Linked DNA regions of Arabidopsis thaliana. The protein of the gene in region 3 interacts with the protein of the main gene of each other region in a pairwise test. Each region holds a gene or a part of one and is shown on either strand. Other genes may lie near its edges.

Region 1 (5,844 bases), on a different chromosome or scaffold from region 3:
CACCATTGTTTTCACCAGGTTTGCTGAGCTAGCATGACTGTTTCTCACCTTATACTCCACATCTTCAAACTGCATATAAATAAAAGAGGCGAAACCAATAAGCTTTGTCTTAATGAAGGAAAATCGAAAGCAAAAGAGAAAGTTGAACCTTGAGAAAGATGGGAAGAGGGGCATCTTCGAGAGGATAAGTGGAAACGAACTCTTCATCAATGTCAATCTCGGATGAGTATTGGTTTCTGAGGTAAGCTTGTGGCATGAACTCCATGTTGTGAACTATGCCATTGCTTCCTGTAATCTGCATTACATGATTCTCTTCAACTTCTTCTGTTGATCTTCTGATCTCCATGTTATCTTTCTTATTCTTGTTCCACAAGAAAATTGTTATGAATGTAGGCTTGTGTTATATAACGGAAGAAGTGTGTGGATCAACTGTGTCAAACCTGAAACTTTCTTGCTTTTTGTGTTCTCTTTTTCTCTCTGTTTATCAGGGTGTTAGTTTGGTAGACCACATTCTTTCAATGTTTTTGTATTAAATTGAATGCATTTGTTGACTTGAACAAGGAGCAAATGAAACTATATTAATTTCAATATACTTTATATGGTACTAAAATCATTTACATTTATCGACTTGGCTTGCTCATTGACGATCACAACGTACGAGAATAAATGTCCACTTGCTCATATAAACTGATCACTTGATTATATTGTAAGATTCGGAAGAATTACAGATAAACGAGATCAAAGCGGTTTGTGGCACTCACAAAAATTGAAAAAACAAAAGGCACCAATTCTCTTGTCCCCTTGCCAAATACTAATCTTCTTCTTGGGGGGTGATGTATCCTAAGTATGTACACAAAATCACTCAAAATTCCAGACTTAAACATCTCGTACCAATCTGAATATGCATCTTTCTAGTAATACTCCTTGACCTAGTAGTTGTTTCCCAGATTTGTTCGTGCAGCTTGAGGTTGCTGATTAGTTACGTGCGATGGTCCTATGGGTTCAGTCCTCGCAGATATAGATAGAGGCGCCAGTATTGGCTGTGTTTGTTGATATAACCCACGGATCCCAGCCTGCATGGTTGGGAAAGCTATAGGCTGACCTTGAAGGGATAAGTTGTACATGGGACTGGCCTGCAGATTGGCTAGACTCTGCTACATGGAGCCGTGTTAAAAAACTATAGCATAACATGCAATGACAGTGGGGAGAGTCAGAGAAAAACTAACCAGTGGTCCAGTTGTGTACATGTTTTCCTTCTTTTCTTCCTTGTGAGTAGCATTTATGGTGGCTGCTGATGGGATGTGGTTGAAGGCGTATGAAGTATATGAGAATGGAATCGTGGTAGGTGGAGAGTTTCCAATGTCGCTTCCGGGTTTGATGTGAGTGAGAGGTAGTTCAGCCCCTGGAGGTGCTGGAGCATCATCTCCGGGTGGTAAGTAAGACTGTTGTTGGAACCCATTTGGGCTCAAGTACTGGTGAATGTATGGTTGCGGCATATAATAAGGGGGGAAATATGGACCATAAGGGAAATAGTTAAGAGAGTATTGTTGCCTATAAAGGTGCATTGCCTGTTGAGCGGCTGCTAAGGAATACTGATCAGGATAGGAGATAGGTGGAGCATCACACTTTGCAGCCTGCAATTATCAACAAAATATAAAAGACAGTGATTAAGCATTGTGTTCATATTTCCTGGCTAGAAAAACCACGCGGTTGGCCTGATGCTGACAATGAATGCACAAGACTAAAAAGACATTGTGTGGGGCTTCTTGATAATAACCAACCTGATGAGTGTCTGTGATTGGTAAAACCTCGTTCTTTACTTTATCTCCTTCTGAACCTTCTTCAGGGAGAACAGTTTGATCTGGCTGCAATGTTAACTCGTTCTGAGCTGCTGAATTTGAAATCTCATGATTCTTATCCTGAGAAAAAGTTGATATATCTTTCCTGCAAACCAAGTTTCATATAAAGGTATTCATATCAGAAACTCATTCATCTGAGACTCTAGATCAATTCATGAGAATATTGAAGCAAGTAACACTGTAAGATTTACTCAAAGTAGCTATTAGTCACCAACCTAGCTGATGCGGCTGTCCCATGAGAAGACTCAATATTGGAGTCATCACACCCAATAGTAAACTTGTCAGAAGATGCCTCTCTCACAAAATTAGAATCGAAGCTCCCAAATGTCAGACCATTTTCCAGCATTTTGGCAACCTGAATGTGGACAGGAAATGTTACGTGCGGCCGTTCACCAACATCCGACTTGAGAAGCGACTCATTCTTGCATTTACTGGCTGCAACCTCACTCTTAATGACTGTTCCAAATAAAGCCATACGTCGAATCACATAAGAGGCTGTAATCAAACTCAGGAACAACTTAACAGAATACAGAATGCACTTAAAGCAACATTAGCAGGCAAGTAATTATATGGTATAATTTATACCTCGCTCGGACTGTTGTGGGATCTGAAAAGTTTCAACTACAGCATATTGAGTATCGTTTTCTACAACAGAATCTGATACAGCCACTGATACACTACTTTCTTTAGACTTATCCGGCTCAACAACATCCTTAGAAGAAGAAGTAGCCTTGGAGAGAGGCTGTTCCTCTGTGTCCACCTTGTCCACAGGGGATATGATAGCATCTTGAATTTTCTGGTTACTGATTCCACTTGGAAGACTTATAGGGTTCGGGGCCCTGAAAAAGAATAGAATGCGTTAGGAAGCCCATATCCAAAGAGGGAATTAAAGACATAGACAGAATTAAAAGTATGGATACATTATGGAAGAAGGTTTTGTGTCGTTTCTTGCATTGTTAGGAGCAGACGAAGCAGTTCCAGAACCTCCTATTATGTGATTAGCTCCACTCTGCTTTTTAAAAGCTGCACTTCTTCCATTACTGGCATCTGAATCAACAAAGAGCTTGAATCAAGGAAGGAAATATAGAACACAAGTTTAGAAGTAAAAGAACATAAACCACAATGACCTGTGTAACTTGAAGCAAAGTTCTTCCGTCCAGTCCGGCCCCTTCCTTGTGTATTTGGCACTAAATTCTACAACAGGTAATACACATAAAGGCATAAGAGAAACGAGATGATGTAAGCTAAACAGAGAACTCAAGACCACACTTAAAATGCAAAGTAAGGATTCAAAAGAACATAGGAAAGCTACCTCTTTCTTTCTCTCCCGTTTGCTTCTCACCTCATGAAATGTATCTGAAAGATCAGTAATAATATATGAGTACATGTCTGCTATCAAAGTACATGATTATGTTGATCTTGAAACAGTAGACAGAATCAAAACTTAACCCAGATGCCCAATCTCAATCAAAGCTAAACAGAAATTCCCTTTCCACATTCCAGCTAGATTGGTAAAGATTTAAAACGACAGTTTCTTAGTCATGAACCCAAATTCTACATATTCCATTTCAGTAAAAAAGATTCCTTATTTGAACATCCCCAGACATATTATACCAATTAGAAATCTAAATAAACAAAACATAAGATTCTAAGCATAACACACAGATTCTAAGACAAGACCAAAATCGACAAAGGGCATTAAATAGCAAAATCCAAAACAAAACCCTAGGAGAAGCACACGCTCAATACAACAAAAAGGAAGTAAAAACACTAAAACAAAAACAAATGCTGAAGCTTTCTCAGTAAAACAACCTAAATAGAGAAGCTTCTGAGTGGTCTCATGTGGATCACTGAAACACTCCTTAAAGACAGAGAAGATATCCTCGTCGGAATGTTGTTTACCGGTAACCTCTCTGATGTTTTGAATGGTTTGAAGCAGATCAGCCGGAATAGAAACCCTAGAGCCGCCATCGCCGCTGATCCTGCTCATGTTGGTTACAGAGAGAAAGAGAAGCGGAGGGAGGAGGAGAGAGGAAATATGGGTTGAACATAAAGACTTCGTATATAGTACTATTATTTATTTCCGTACAATCTACCGCTTAATGTCTCTCTCTACGTATATTTATACGCTGACGTCACTGTTTATCAATTTCCTCCTCATTATTTGATTGAGTACTATTATTTATTTCCGTACAATCTACCGCTTAATGTCTCTCTCTACGTATATTTATACGCTGACGTCACTGTTTATCGATTTCCTCCTCATTATTTGATTGTTTTGTACGCGTTTAATGGAAGGAGAGACAACAAAGTTGATATGGCCGAGTTGGTCTAAGGCGCCAGATTAAGGTTCTGGTCCGAAAGGGCGTGGGTTCAAATCCCACTGTCAACAATTTACTTTTTTTTTTTTTGTCTTTTTACAAGAATAGGAAAAATAGACAGCTGTGTAAAAAAATATTAACTTTGTTTTGTTTCCACAAGTCGATGTCCAAATTTAAGAATATATATATATTACACGATTTAGCTATCTCCTCTAATTAGATGAAGAGACATCAGATCTTATCAAAACCCTAGCTTTCGGTGTCTCTCTCGATCCTTTAGCTCAATCGAAAACTGAATTTAGGAGCTGCGATGGGTTCCAGATCTCGTAATGATAATTTCCAGTCCGGCGATGGCGCTAGTCCTGGGTACGTTTACTTCTCCTACCTCTTGCATGTTTGATTCCACAGGATTAAGGGAAATATCTCATAATCTGTTGGCTTTGTAACTCTTTTTATATTGTTGGTTAAGGTTTAATTTATGTTTTGCTTGGAATTTTTGTGTTGCAGGAAAATATTCATTGGAGGATTGCACAAAGACACGACTAATAGTAAGTTTCTTCCTCTTGTTTTGTTCTAGAAATTGCGTTTCTAAGTTTTGTTATGTTATGGATTCTTGTGTGTGTTTCTGATGTTAGACCTGTTGGAATGTTGATTCTACTTGCTCACTTTGGTTTTGATTGCAGCTGTGTTCAATAAGCACTTTGGCAAGTACGGGGAGATTACAGATTCTGTCATTATGCGAGATCGACATACTGGACAACCTAGGGGTTTCGGTTTCATCACCTTCGCTGACCCTTCTGTTGTTGACAAAGTTATCGAAGATACTCATGTCATCAATGGCAAACAGGTCGGCCACTTCTCTTTTCTTCCTTCACTAGCTTATAGTGTTCATTTTTAGTAGGGTGTTGGGTCTTGATCAATACTTTTTTCCTTGTTTTGATGGAACAGGTTGAGATCAAAAGGACTATTCCGAAAGGTGCTGGTGGCAATCAGTCAAAGGACATCAAAACAAAGAAGATTTTCGTTGGTGGTATACCCTCAACGGTTACAGAAGGTAGACCTCCCTCTTGGCATGATATTTTTTTGCTTTCCATGAGAATGCTGGTTTCCTGTCCTTATTGAAGTTGGTTTCTTTTTCTGTTGATCAGATGAACTTAAGGACTTCTTTGCCAAGTATGGGAACGTGGTGGAGCACCAGGTTATTCGAGACCATGAAACAAACAGGTCCAGAGGTTTTGGTTTTGTAATTTTTGATAGCGAAGAAGTCGTAGATGAATTATTGTCCAAAGGAAACATGATCGATATGGCAGACACTCAGGTAAGCTTGTACAAATGGGGATTAGAATTTTGGTTCATGATGACATATTTATCTTGGTTTCAATTTGATATTTTCTCCTTGTTCCTTTCATTATACACGTTTAACTTAGTTAGAATTCTACCCACTAGCTTACCAAATGTAAGGAGCTTGTCACAGTAAGATAGGAAATCCCTGCTATAGTTTGGGTCCTTAGCATAGCTAGGTTAATTAAGTTGCTTTGTTGTAGGTGGAGATCAAGAAAGCTGAACCAAAGAAATCTCTAAACCGTTCACCTCCTTCTTACGGTAGTCACCCTAGAGGTCGTTCTTCTAACGATAGTTATGCAAGTTATGGTGGACCTTACGGA
Region 2 (6,793 bases), on a different chromosome or scaffold from region 3:
AATAGCTGATGTTTACATGCATGATGCATGCTCAAAGATGGAACCAAATGAAAGCTTTCTGAATTTGACCAATTGCAAGAGCATCACATGATTTCGTTCAAACAAAAGTTCCTAAACAAGCTTTCAACTTTTACCGCAATAATTAGACCATAACTGGCAAAGAAAAAATAACGCAGTAGGCACTAGGGTAGCCTTTGTAATGTTCACAAGACGGAAACTAGAAAACCATAAAGAGAATTAAAGGAAGAAGCTTTATTAATGAGAATTATCCAATGAAAGATCCTCCATTTACTTCCTTATATAAACAATAATATAAGCAAATCCAGCTAAAATCACTCTTAAACCATAAGAATTCTTCTTGTCTATTTTTTTGTTTCCATTTCTAGCAAAACATTCTTCATTACCCATAAGACAAATCAAGCTTAGCAGCATAAGATAAAGACTCAATAAACCCTAACCACAAACTGAGTTTCTTCCTGACGACTCATACCCCAATCACAAACCACATTGTTCTTCTACTCTTCTCATTATCTTTGCTTGGGGTATGCAAAACTTATGGAAAAATGTCAGGAAAAACTACGAAAAATTGAAAAACAAGAAAGACGAAAATGGTAGAAACACTAAGAGGCAGAAGGAAGAGGACGAGGCGGCGGCAACATTTGACGGAGATTAGGACCACCGGTAGCTTTAAGTATGAAAGGATGCTGCAAAAGCTGTTGAGCTGACCATCTCTTAGGAGGATCACTCTGTAAACAACAAGAAACAAAGTGACGAAACTCCTGAGACGCCGTAGCCGGAGCTTCAGGTGGCTGAGACATACAAATAGCACACATAAGACTAGCCCAATCACCTTGTCTACTCACAGCAAAAGGAAACCTCCCCAAGTAAAACTCCAAGATACTAACACCTAAACTCCAAACATCTCCAGCATAACCATCGTAACGACCATGATTCAAATCAGTATTAATCCTCTCAGGACTCATATAAGCAATAGTACCAACAGATGAATTACAAGGATCCATTGTTTGTGCCAAGATCCTACTCACACCAAAATCAGCAATTTTCACATTTTTAGCTGAGTTTATAAGAAGATTCGAAGGTTTGATATCACGATGAACGATATGACGACGATGAAGATAAGCTAATCCACTAAGAATCTGACGAGAGAGATCAGCTAATTCCTGTTCTTGCCATATATGAGCTCCTTCAAGAGATCCTTGATCCATAAACTCAAGCAAAACCTGGATCTCACCGTTATGATCAAACATATCGTGACATTTCACAACGTTTGGATGATCAACACTTCTTAAGATCTCGATCTCTCTACAGATCTGACGTCTCACGGTATCTTCGTGGTTTCCGTAAATCACTTTGAGAGCGAAAGGACGTGACGTCGGAGTGTGGATTACTTTGTAAACCGTTCCTCCGGCTCCGCTTCCGATTCGGTTCACTCGTTCTAGCTCGGATAAGCTTTTAGCGGCGGAGATGTTGGTTGAGATCGCGGAGGAAGACGCCGGAGCGGATGAAGAGGAAGAAGGAGGTGGGAGAGGGAGAGGTACGGCGAGAGCGACGTCGCGGTGTGGGAGTGGTAAGCTTAGGTCAGGACGTTTGCGTAAACGGTTCTTCATAGGTGAAGCTACTCCAGAAGGAGATTGAATCGGTTTCATGGCTTTTAGAAGAAGAGGGAATCAAAAGTTTTTTTTTTTTTTCACAAGGTTGATTCTTTATCTTCCAGGTTTGTATTTATCATCATGATTGACTTGACTCTAGGGTTTGTTTGATTCGTCGTTTTTCAAAGAGATCAAATCAAGAGGAGAATGAAGCTTCATCGAAGAGATTTGTGAAAATGATTGTAAGAAACAAGAAAAAAAAAAAAAGTTAAAATGGTAAGACGAAGGTACGCGTTGATGGAAAGAGCGTGGAATACACTCGCACTTGTGTGGCTCTGTGTTGTTACACGTTAACCATGTTTTTTGTTTGGTCGGGTCTGAATTGGATTATAATATCATTAAGAGTGTTTAAGATCGTGGATTTAGATACTATAAATTTGGTGTTAGGTATTTAATATTTTTAGAAAGTAAGAAAATACAGATTAAAGTTTCTTTCCAATAAAAACAATTGAAAAAAGAAAAACTTAAAGTAATTATAATTCTAAAAAAATTAAAAACTAATTTTCTTTTTAAAGTTTTTAACAGAAAAAGAAAGAAATAAAATTAAAGTGGTACAGTGTTCACGTGCGATGCATGTGACTTAAAAAATAAGTTTGCCTTCTTTGCCGTCAATTCTTCCGCAGAAGTTTTTTCGAACAATCAATCTCTGACTCTCTGAGTAATTAGGTTTTTTTTTTATCTCATGGCCGGCGCCGGAATCCACCCATACCACCAGCAGTGGCCGCCGGCAGGTGCGCCGCCTCCTCCAGCCGCAGTATCATCAGCTGCTCCACCACATCCGCCGCCCATTCATCACCATCCTCCTCCTCCTCCTGTTTTAGTTGACAACCATAATCGTCCTCCTTATGACGAGGTTCAACTCTTTCTCTTTCTCTCTATACATATCGGTGATTCTTGTGCTGTGTTGTCGAGATGGGCTTGCTTGATTTTTGTTTACGTTGAGGTTTTAATTTGCCTGCTTTTTGATATACAATGTTAGCTTGATTTTGCTACGGAATCGATAAATTGTCCAAAGTTATGACCTTTTTGATAAGAATGATTTTTAAGTTTGTTACTAAAATCTCACTTATGACCTGTTGCATAAGTGAGAAAGGTTCTCTTATCTTGTCATGTAGTTGGAGTTTTCTGATTTTGGGAAAACGTGATCTCTTACACAAGTTTGAATCTGTTGTTCAGCTGCGGACAATCTTCATCGCAGGGCTTCCCGATGATGTAAAAGAGAGAGAGCTTTTGAATCTCTTGAGATGGTTGCCTGGTTACGAGGCTTCTCAGGTGAACTTCAAGGGAGAAAAGCCCATGGGGTTTGCTCTTTTCTCCACAGCTCAGTTTGCAATGGCAGCCAAAGATACCCTTCAGGTCTGTCTGCTTCTGATCATTGTTGACTCAGATCCTTTTTTGTCTTCACATTATGACATATGTTGTTCTTGGCATGCAGCATATGGTGTTTGATGCTGAGTCAAAGTCTGTGATACATACAGAGATGGCCAAGAAGAATCTTTTTGTTAAAAGAGGTTAGCTCTACCTTTATGACATAAAATGGCTGTATTTTATCTATCTTAAGCATTAGTCATGTTACTGAAGCATGTTTGATACAGTTTTGTGCATTTATACGGGGTCTCACTACACTCTCCCCTTTATCTAGTTTCTTACTTCCTTTGTTAATATCACAAACCATATATAACCTTTGAACTCAATCTTTATTCTGTAGGTATTGTTGGGGATTCAAATGCTTATGATCAAAGTAAGCGCCTACGAACTGGTGGTGACTGCACACACTCTGTGTATAGTCCATCTCCTTTCCATCCTCCACCTCCTCCTGTGTGGGGACCTCCTCATGGGTTAGGCATTTGCTTCTCCTTCATATTTCATATGCTGTGTAGAAATTGGACGATGTGTATTTGGTACACCGTTTTATGTTAAGTTGCTTATTTGACAAGAAGATAAATTGGTTCAGATATATGGCACCTGCACCTCCACCATATGATCCCTATGCAGGTTATCATGCTCCCCCTGTACCAATGCCTACGCCCCCACCTATAGCAGCTCCTAGTTCTTATGTGCCTGTCCAGGTGAAGTTGCACTGTTTTCATCATTTTATTTATCATATGGTGGTTGTGCAATTATATACCCGGAATCCATATTGTACTTGCCTCTCCTTGCCTAAAAATTACAATCTCGAACTTCATTCTAATTAGCTTACATGCTATACTCTCTGGTGGTTGTGTTGTGGAACAATAGTTGTTGCCTAATTTAAATGCATTGTCTACTGCTCTGAATTTGCTAAAGTTTCTGATTGTTTGATAAATTTTGTACCTAGTTTGATGAATATCTAGCCTAGGTTTGGTGATCTGATATATGTCTCATGTTGTTTTCAAATTTTTTTCAATTGCAGAATATTAAGGATAATCCACCTTGCAATACCCTATTTATTGGTAATCTTGGGGAGAATATAAACGAAGAAGAATTGAGGAGCCTGTTGAGTGCGTGAGTATCTGTTCCCTTTAGTGAGACTCCTGTCCATTGCTTTCCTTGAGATCTTGGCCTTTTTGTAGACCTGTGTTCTCAAGAATTCTGCGGTAAACTGTACTTTCATTTTGCAGGCAACCTGGTTTCAAACAAATGAAGATTCTGAGACAAGAAAGGCATACAGTTTGCTTTATTGAATTCGAGGTTAACTCTGAGACCTTCACCATCTGTGTATATGTGACAGAAAATATTCTTCTAGCATATTGTTAAATTCTTCTATCTGGACTTGCAGGATGTCAATAGTGCCACAAATGTTCACCATAATTTGCAAGGTGCTGTCATTCCAAGTTCTGGTTCAATTGGCATGAGGATCCAATATCCTTATATACTTTTACTCTTTCTGATTATTTAATATTCCAGTATGCCAAGTTCTTTTTTCTTTTCTGTTTGATTCTTCTTAACCCAATGATACATATTCAAAGAATCCATATGGGAAGAGAAAGGAAGGTGGCGGCTATTCTTTCTTTCCTTCTCCGAGTGCTAATGGAGCCCAAGGAGCCCTGACATATCAGTAGGCCTTGAAGGGGGACGTACTCTCTTCCTTATCTCCCAACAACTGCACGAATACGATGCATCTTCCAGGCAGTCTGCATTTCATCCATTTCCATTCTCGACATTTTTAAGCATCAGCATTGCTTTGTCATGTGTTGGGTGCATATAGTGTGACCTCATCAACATATAACATGTTTCAGTTTCTATTAGCTCTGCTACATGCATTCGCAGTGTGGTTTTTGATGATTGTTTGAATTATATAGGAGTTTGGTTTGCTATTTGTTTATCTTATTGCGGCTTTAATACATCACTTTGTGGGATTCATTTTCATCATTCTGATCGATTCATCCTAATGAAACGTTAGCTAGGAAAAAACATAACATTACATTAGATCATAACATGATAACATCCGGAGGCCTTCCATCAACTTCGTTTCACTGCATGGACACGGAATGTTGCTCTCATGATTGATTCATCCTAACGAAACTCCATTTGCTATGTTAGCTGATATACCATTACATTAGATCATAACATGATAACATCCAGAGGGGTTTGATCAACTTCGTTTCACTGCATAGACATGGAATATTACTCTCATGATCTATCACATCGGTTTCATTCTTCAGCATTTCCCATGTCGATCATTCTCTGTTCTTACTTAGGCTGATGAACAAGCACATCCGTTTTGTCAGAAGTTGACAGCTGATATAACATTTGAAGATAGGCATTCCATTACATTGTAGGTTTATTATAGTTGAGCAAACATATATACATTCCCAGCTCTGGCTTGGCCTTATGCAGGGACAATCCGTAAAGAGAAAGCCCAAGCTCTCGAATAGAGATGCGTTTCACCTACAAAGTTGAGGTAAGGTCATCTTCGGACGTCCAGGAACAGAGCCAGGAGTTCCTAAGAGCCTATCTTTTTACAATGGAGTCTACTTATCCAATCCAACTTATCTCTTTTCTAACTGATGTTTCTGTACGGCTTTGGGCTACTTGACTCTGGATGTGAAAACCAGAAGCGAATTTAGTGATTCTTCAAATGAGAAAGTTTCTCTTCCATTTTCAAGAACAATGTGTGTATAATTGGTCGCTTACTTATCAGATTTTGAGGTATAGGATCTCTAGGGCCTAGTTTCATGTTTTGTTTCTCTGAATTCGAACCATGGTAAATTTGCTGTAAAGAGAGGTAGGTAATATAATTAACCCAAGAGACAACCCAAGAAGAATCGATAAAGGAGTGTCTCAACTCTCAAGTAAGAAACATGTTTTCATTATTATGATTGGCGAGTCTCAAGCTTTCATCACTGTAGACAACAAAGAAAAAGATTTGTTGCACAAAAGGGTTTGTGCATTCCTTAGACCAACTTTCCAGAGAAGCAAAACATCTAAAACCACAAAACCATGGTCTTAAAAGAAAATTCTTAAACGTCAGGTGTGTCTGAGCGCAGAACTGTCAAGAAAAACAAGATAAAGAGTTGGGAGGTTAATAAAAAGAAGAAAAAAAATATAAAACGGAACTGAGAGGTAAAAGATTGAAACCCCTCTTCAAGTTGTTCAAGTAAAGATCATCAAGCAAAAGGTAGAGATGTCGATCAAATTGGTGGAACAAACGCACGGAGAGGGAGGAGAATCGTGAGTAACGTGCCTGGTTTCTGAGGCTTTCCATCGGACCATTTTGGAGAGGGAGAAGTGAACCTTGTCGCGATTGATTGTTTCAGCTTTGAATGGTTCTTTGAGACGGATATACGCCGTCCCCATACTCGTTCTCAGCCCATTTTAGGCCTTTCTGAATTAGGCCCAAATACGTTTACGTGTTTTTAGAGGAAAACTTTCAACGTGCATGTCAAAGACAAATTGTTTGTTTATTTTCTCATCAAGCAAGACAGAGACTACTATTTTGCTTTTTTTAAAAGAAAACGATGTAGCATTTTCCTTGTCGAGAAGCTAAGGAAACCTGACAAAAATGCAAGGGATAACAAACGCATTAACCAAAGTATAATTTTTTACAAGCAAAGAAACATTTGCACAAAACCCATAAATATAAACCTCATTATCCCATAATTAGCAATGCTGCATAACACATAATTTAAAAACCCTAAGAA
Region 3 (6,471 bases):
ATTTACTGCCAAAAGAAGAAGAATATAATATACAGTCATTTATATAAAATATAATTGTGGACCTTTTAGTTAATTATACCAAATAAGAGATAATAATTATATTAATTATCAATTAATGAGTTGTGGACCCTTTGTTGATTTTTAAAAGTAATTAAAATATATTAGGACTATTTTAATTTTAAAATGAAATGTGGACCTATAATTTTAATTACCAAATGATAACATGTGAGCTGTATATTGAGATTTAATATAAAAACTTAAATTTAAAGTCTTAGAACATTTTGATTTCTTTATATATTTTGATCTTTACTCTACTAAAAAAAAAAGGATACGAAAATAAAATGTTTGAATTGTCAACAACTCAACATTACTTGATTCATTTTAATCAATTCATCTATAATATTGCAACATTTTTGTATATATGCAGTTTCTTAATAGTCAAGAATATATTACATCGTTGACTCTGTTTTATCCATCAGGGAGCAGAAGCACAACAATACTGTTAGAGAGAAAACAAGGAGAGAAAAATCCTCCAATTTTCTGGAAAAAAACTACAATCAAACATTCTTAAAGAAGTCTTCAAGAACGGGACTTTTAAGAATGAACAAGATTAATAAATGAAATTATAATGGTTAATAATCATAACATTTATACATGAACTTTTCAATGATAGACATAAGTCACAAATTGACAAAGTTTAGAAAAGAGAAAAATAGAAGAAGAGTGAGTGGAAGAGAATCCTTTTGCATGAAGATACAGCTTTTCTGAGTGATTGAGAATTTCTGACCCACATGATCAGACTTGGCAAATGTTAGTTAATTACGGCCATCAACTTTTTGTTCTCCAGTTCCATCAAGATCCATCTTAGTGTCTCAACCGGATTTGCCGTTAACCGCACAGCGAACTCTTAATGATGAAGAGATGTCAGTGGTTTTTACGAGTTTAATAAACCGTTAAATAACGGGTTTTTACTCTGTTGTTGTTGCTGCTGTTGACCGTTGTCTCTCTTAAGCTGGACTTTCAATTTCTTACCGCTTAATTGGCAACCGTTCATTGTGTTAATAGCGTTCTGAGCAGCTGCCTGTGAGTCATAACTAATGAATCCTGCGTGCAGCAACAAAAGGGTTGCGTAACGGTTAATTCGAGTCTAGGGGAAAGAATGAAGATGATAGAGGAAGAAAGCAAGAGCTTACCGAAACATTTGCTTATACCAGTGGCCTTGTCTACAAACACCTTGGCGCTTAGAACCTTACCAAAAGGTTGAAACGTAGCCGCGAGTTCTTGATCCTCGAATTCCCGAGGTATGTTATAAATAAATAGATTCGCACCTGCTGGTCCTGAGAACATCAAAGAAATTGCTTTAAATATCAGTAACATAACGACTAGAAACTTATCAAAATCTTATTTGTTCTTGTTTTGGACTAACTAAACCTTCTGTTTGAAGCGAGGAAGGTATCGATGTGCCGTTATTAGAAATTCCAGGTGAAACTGTGGTTAGAGGAAGGCGAGGAGGTATCATCCCTCTAGGAAATGCCATAGGATATTGAAGACCATGGTAACCGTAATTTCCAAGAGCCGTTGGGAAGTTTCTGCGGGGGGCCAAACGTGGTGGGACAGACTCTGTCAAAGCGGTTCCCTGCAATGCCCTGCCGTTACCTTGGTTAGGTGAAATCACATTGTGAAATGCATGTTGAGTCTGGATAGGTGGTAGCATGTAGCCATAAGTTCCAGGCACCTGTTATAGAGAAAAGTTTTAAGGATCAAATAAAAAAAGTCTTGCAACCAAAATACACCAATCTCTACAGCTTTTTCAAACCTCATGAGTCCAAAAAGTTCAATCCAAGTAGATGAGAAAACAAGAACTTACATGATAGCCATATCCATTGTAAGGAGGAACATAACTCATAGGTAATGCTCCAAACATGGAGGGGTTTTGCGGATCGAGTCTGGAGACATGAGATTGAACTTTTAGAAGTCTTCGAGCTTGTCTTTCCTTTTCTGTGTCTGCCCATTTAACAATCAAAGGAACATTTGCTCCCTAAAAGAAGAAAAAAAGAATGTGATATTGTCACACTCTCCATACAAGTCTTTATAAAATAACAAGAATGTTCGAGAGAAGTATATGTAATAAGCACATACCTCCATTATATGTCTTCCGTTGAGGGCTTCCATAGCTGCGACCGCTTGTTCTTTAGACTCGTACTTTAGAAACAGACAGCCTAAAATAATCCAAATGAACCAAATAATTAAAGTCAGTCAGAACTCTGGTATAGAGTGCTTGCTATAGATGCATAAGCAAGTGGAGATACATACCTTTGCTAGTTTGTAGAGACCCTCTTAGAATCTGTAGATCCTTAATGGTTCCGTATTCAGAGAATAAGGACTGGACTTCAGTTTCAGAGACATTCTTTGGAAGCATACCGACGAAAAGTTTGTGCTCTGGATTGCACGAACAGTCAAGAACATCTATCAAATTGATTGGTATCAAAAATTAAAAAATGCGACCAAACTCTGGAAAGAAAGAAAAAAAGAACTCTTTTGGTGCTTAGACTTCATCACTCAGAAGCATTTTGCGTACCTAGTCTTTCCAACTCGCCATCTGCATACTTAACTTGCAACGGACTAGATGCCTGAAACATATCATAAGAAAGTGAATTCTATAATTCGAGAGAGGGATAAGAGTGTACATAGCCCATAAGCATCCTAATGTTCAGATACCGGCCACAGAAAAATCGAAAGAAGCAAGGATATATATATACACCAAATTTTTGTTAAAGATCGCTCAACAAAAAGTCAACACAATGAAGCAAAAGTTTTCTCTTGGTATTTGGGTTCCTATAATCTCATTCCTAGAGATGTTCTAGCTTTTTGCATCTTGCACGTTTTAGTGACCACTGACATACATCTATAGTGGACCAATGTGGTTTCTTGGGTTTGAAGAAATCAGCTAGAGAGGATTTGAAACGAACTAGTATCATCAGATTACAATAACTGATAGGGCAGATTCTGATCAGCCAAATCAGATTCATGATTTCACCTCGATGGATATATGATATATATAACCAAGCAACAACATGCAAAATTAACAGGGACAATAATCAAGTACAATGCAGATCGAGACGGATAAAAAGAAGAAAAATCAATCTGAGATTTTAATCAGTAGCTTGAAAAAATGTCACCTTAAGTAGTTTTGATGTACACAGAAACATCAGATTCAAATATCAGAAAATCCCAGAAAATTAAGCAAAACAGCTTCAAGAATGGTAACAAGAAAGAAGACTTACCCCAGGCAATGTCTTCTTGTTATGAAAACTATTGATCACCTTGTCAGCATCTTCCCTTGTAGGACATGTCAGAAAACAACATCCTACAATTCCACAAGAAATTAGGGTTTTCACAATTCAAAAATAAAATAAAAGCAACGAAGAAATCACGCGCAATAAAAAAGAACAAAAAAAAAAAAAAACAGGGGAACTTCCAAATTAAAGAAAGAAAAAAACAGAGTTCAAATTAAACGAATGAAACGGAGAAAATTAGGGTTTTCAGAATCCAAAATCAGACGAATCGAAAAACCATCTACAAGTATCCTCGAAACAGAGAAAAACTTCTAAGAAAAAAAACAAAAAGATATCAAAAGTAACGTTCTTTGGGAGAAAACAGAGGAATTTTTTTATTAAAAAAAAACCTCGAGGAGCTCGTGTTGTCTTCTCTTTAATGATGTTGACTTCATTGACGATGGAGAATTCTCGAAACAATGTGAGGAGCTGAATCTCCGTCATGTGCTTCGGAACTTGTCCGACGAACAGCTTCACCCTCTCTTCGTTCTCCATCGTCTCCTCCGCCATTATTTCTTTCTCTCGACTTCGTCGTCTTCTTCTTCTTCTTCTTCTTCTTCTCTCTCTACAGGCTTTTTCTTCCTGAATATTTATTTATTTACTTTCTTTTTTTTGGAAAAAATAATAATAATAAGAAAAAAAAATGAGAGAACTACTAACTAATGGGTGACAAAGTGGTTAAATTAAAATACGGACTAAATCTGGGCTCGTCGTTATTACTAAATTTACGATATTGCCATTAAAACAGCTGTTCAATTAAACAAGAAGGCGAGCCTGTGGGATGCCAGGGGAACACTTTCGGATTGTTTTGTCTGATTATGGATGTGTTGTCATGCCGAATTTACCATTTTATCCGCGTTTTTGTTTTAATATGGAGTGTGTGAATAAGCTGACTATTTTTTTTGTTATGTTTAAATTAAATAGCTGTCATTTCTTCAGTCTTCTGCATTAAAACTCAAAATGTTAGTTTATGTTTAGTTTTTTTTTGGATTTTTATTGTCGTTTGGTTTAAAGAAAAGTGAGTATTTTGTTTATGTTGGATATCGTTTGTTAAAGTTAGTCTACCTTTATTCTAATATTTTTTTTTATCAATTCCTCCTTATAATGGATATGATCATCTGACGTTAAAGTAGTGATAGATATATGTCCTAATATTTTTATCACTAAAATTTTTATATATTTAATTCTTTATTAATAATAAAAAGTGTAGGTTTGTTTAAAGGTCCAAATCAAACATACACAGTTACAAACACAAAAAGAAAAACCTTTTTTTTCTTTTGAGCAGTTGAAATTTGAGTATTTGACAATACACATGGACACGGCTATAAATTTCCATATTAATTATTTTATATAATATATATATTTTAGCTTTAGACAATAATATATTACACCATTGAAAAGAGGGTTTGGACATTTCAATCTAGCCAAACCAACTCCAAATGCAAACTGTCATTTTTAACTTAAATTGAATATAAACATTTTTATCGTTTTCGCACCATACAACTAAATTAAAATCAATCCAATCCTATTTGTAACAAGTGATGAAGTGAATAATAATATGTGTTATATTAATGTAACATATTATTTATTTTTGGAACGGAGAATCCAATGACCAATTCTAGATTTGTAAAAAAAAAAATTAAAAGTAAGTAAATCGAGAAATAGTTATAGAAATAAATACGACTATACTAGTTGACCGTAGAATTTATATCCATACACGAGAGGTCATTTTCATTTTTCAGTGACAACGAGTAGAGGACACTGAAATAAGGGTAGAGTGTCGTAAATATAAGGAAATACTAGTGGCAAAAACATAAATATGACAGACTGTCCTTGCCATTCGGAAATAAATAACCACATCAGCTCCGATTCTTACATCAAATTTCACAAAGAAGGCCGCTGACTTTATTTAGTTTACGTTTTGACCCCACTTGTTTTCTGGTTTTTGTGCATGTTTGTGTGAATTAGTCATTGATAAACGATAATAGTGTAGTAGTAATTAAGAAGAAAAAACCACTCGGCCGCTTAATTTAGCATGAAAACGTATTAAAAGAATCTCCACTGTTACTCTGTGAGTAAATGATAATATTTCTATTGCATTTCATGAAAGAAGTCAATGAAAAAGTTTGACATATCAATCAAGTATTCATTAGTCTACTAAAATATGTATACGTTGTTAGATTAATCTATATCCAATCTGTAGATAGTAGATAACGTGCTTATGTAAAAACAAAGTTAGATTCTACATCTCACCAGTCTCTGGCATTTCAAATTTGCAGATCTTTGGGAAATTTACTTATCCTCATAGTGAGACCCAAAAGTCTTCAGACTTATGATCATATAAAAGAATATCATTCGACAAAACCACAATCATATAGAAGAACATTATGAAAATCTAAAATAATGGTCAAACCTTTTAAACAACAACTTCTTATCACCATTTATTACACACATAAAGTAAAAGAAAACAAACTTACAGATATTAAAGAACAAAACAATTGATTTCAAAAGAAAGACAATTATATTTAAACAAGAAACGAACAATAGAAAATGTAACAAACATCCATGGACTTAGGTATAACTACAATCCTATGATATACCTTACGCTAACTAGTTGAGAGTATACCCTACCTATCACAGAGTACAAAGATATTTAGAGAAAGTTCCTCAGTTTCTGTTCTTGATCACTCGGACCTCTCTGTCTCCTCTAAAGAGTCATGAGCTCTTTGGAAGTAGAATCTGTGTTTGGGAGAGCCCAATTGCCAAAGCCTTTCCCCCATAACCCTTCAAGCTTAATCTTCTTAAACTCAAATGGCTTCCACATCTGTTGCTTCCTCTGAGAATCACCACCTTCCTTATTACGCCTTGCAACAACAGTATTGGTAACACGTTTCTTAAGCTCTGAGTTCTCTTCTTTAAGCATTTGTATTGCTACACTCATTTGCCTTATAGCTTCTCTCTTCTCTTCATCTTTCTCTCTCACCATTTCACTGTAAACCTTATTCTCCTCTCTCAGCCTCTCTATCTCTATCTTCATCATCTCAGAATTTCCATTACCTTCACTGTAAACGACTTCCGATGGTTCTATTTCCTCAACAATGCCATCAATTTCACTTTCATCGACCCATTTGCTTTC

Evidence for each region.
Region 1: the proteins of AT1G03457 (region 3) and GIP1 interact in a two-hybrid assay, tested with the Arabidopsis thaliana proteins (one large-scale study listed by BioGRID).
Region 2: the proteins of AT1G03457 (region 3) and AT3G21215 interact in a two-hybrid assay, tested with the Arabidopsis thaliana proteins (one large-scale study listed by BioGRID).

What each region holds. Positions count from the first base shown.
Region 1 is NC_003074.8:4,250,358-4,256,201, forward strand, and holds GIP1 (GBF-interacting protein 1), read right to left. Parts: upstream 3,922-5,844; 5' UTR 3,850-3,921; coding exon 3,672-3,849; intron 3,216-3,671; coding exon 3,172-3,215; intron 3,054-3,171; coding exon 2,987-3,053; intron 2,907-2,986; coding exon 2,780-2,906; intron 2,699-2,779; coding exon 2,445-2,698; intron 2,316-2,444; coding exon 2,075-2,315; intron 1,945-2,074; coding exon 1,782-1,944; intron 1,635-1,781; coding exon 1,227-1,634; intron 1,152-1,226; coding exon 930-1,151; 3' UTR 601-929; downstream 1-600. Other genes in the region: ABCG26 (ABC-2 type transporter family protein), read right to left, coding at 1-69, 149-346; AT3G13224 (RNA-binding (RRM/RBD/RNP motifs) family protein), read left to right, coding at 4,491-4,546, 4,688-4,728, 4,864-5,027, 5,129-5,234, 5,329-5,498, 5,725-5,844. UniProt on the Arabidopsis thaliana protein: Plant specific protein that enhances G-box-binding factor (GBF) DNA binding activity. May function as a nuclear chaperone or lever and regulate the multimeric state of GBFs. May contribute to bZIP-mediated gene regulation.
Region 2 is NC_003074.8:7,440,791-7,447,583, reverse strand, and holds AT3G21215 (RNA-binding (RRM/RBD/RNP motifs) family protein), read left to right. Parts: upstream 1-2,271; 5' UTR 2,272-2,352; coding exon 2,353-2,523; intron 2,524-2,846; coding exon 2,847-3,026; intron 3,027-3,105; coding exon 3,106-3,181; intron 3,182-3,378; coding exon 3,379-3,508; intron 3,509-3,624; coding exon 3,625-3,739; intron 3,740-4,062; coding exon 4,063-4,154; intron 4,155-4,270; coding exon 4,271-4,340; intron 4,341-4,428; coding exon 4,429-4,511; coding exon of another isoform or gene 4,512-4,548; exon of another isoform or gene 4,549-4,608; coding exon 4,609-4,711; 3' UTR 4,712-6,133; downstream 6,134-6,793. Other genes in the region: MKK5 (MAP kinase kinase 5), read right to left, coding at 621-1,667.
Region 3 is NC_003070.9:860,175-866,645, forward strand, and holds AT1G03457 (RNA-binding (RRM/RBD/RNP motifs) family protein), read right to left. Parts: upstream 4,199-6,471; 5' UTR 3,846-4,198; coding exon 3,686-3,845; intron 3,439-3,685; exon of another isoform or gene 3,368-3,438; coding exon 3,285-3,367; intron 2,631-3,284; coding exon 2,579-2,630; intron 2,467-2,578; coding exon 2,314-2,466; intron 2,220-2,313; coding exon 2,140-2,219; intron 2,039-2,139; coding exon 1,868-2,038; intron 1,736-1,867; coding exon 1,432-1,735; intron 1,338-1,431; coding exon 1,194-1,337; intron 1,105-1,193; coding exon 935-1,104; 3' UTR 588-934; downstream 1-587. Other genes in the region: NET3A (Kinase interacting (KIP1-like) family protein), read right to left, coding at 6,043-6,471. UniProt on the Arabidopsis thaliana protein: RNA-binding protein involved in the regulation of flowering time. Acts as a repressor of the activity of SOC1, a transcriptional activator of flowering time.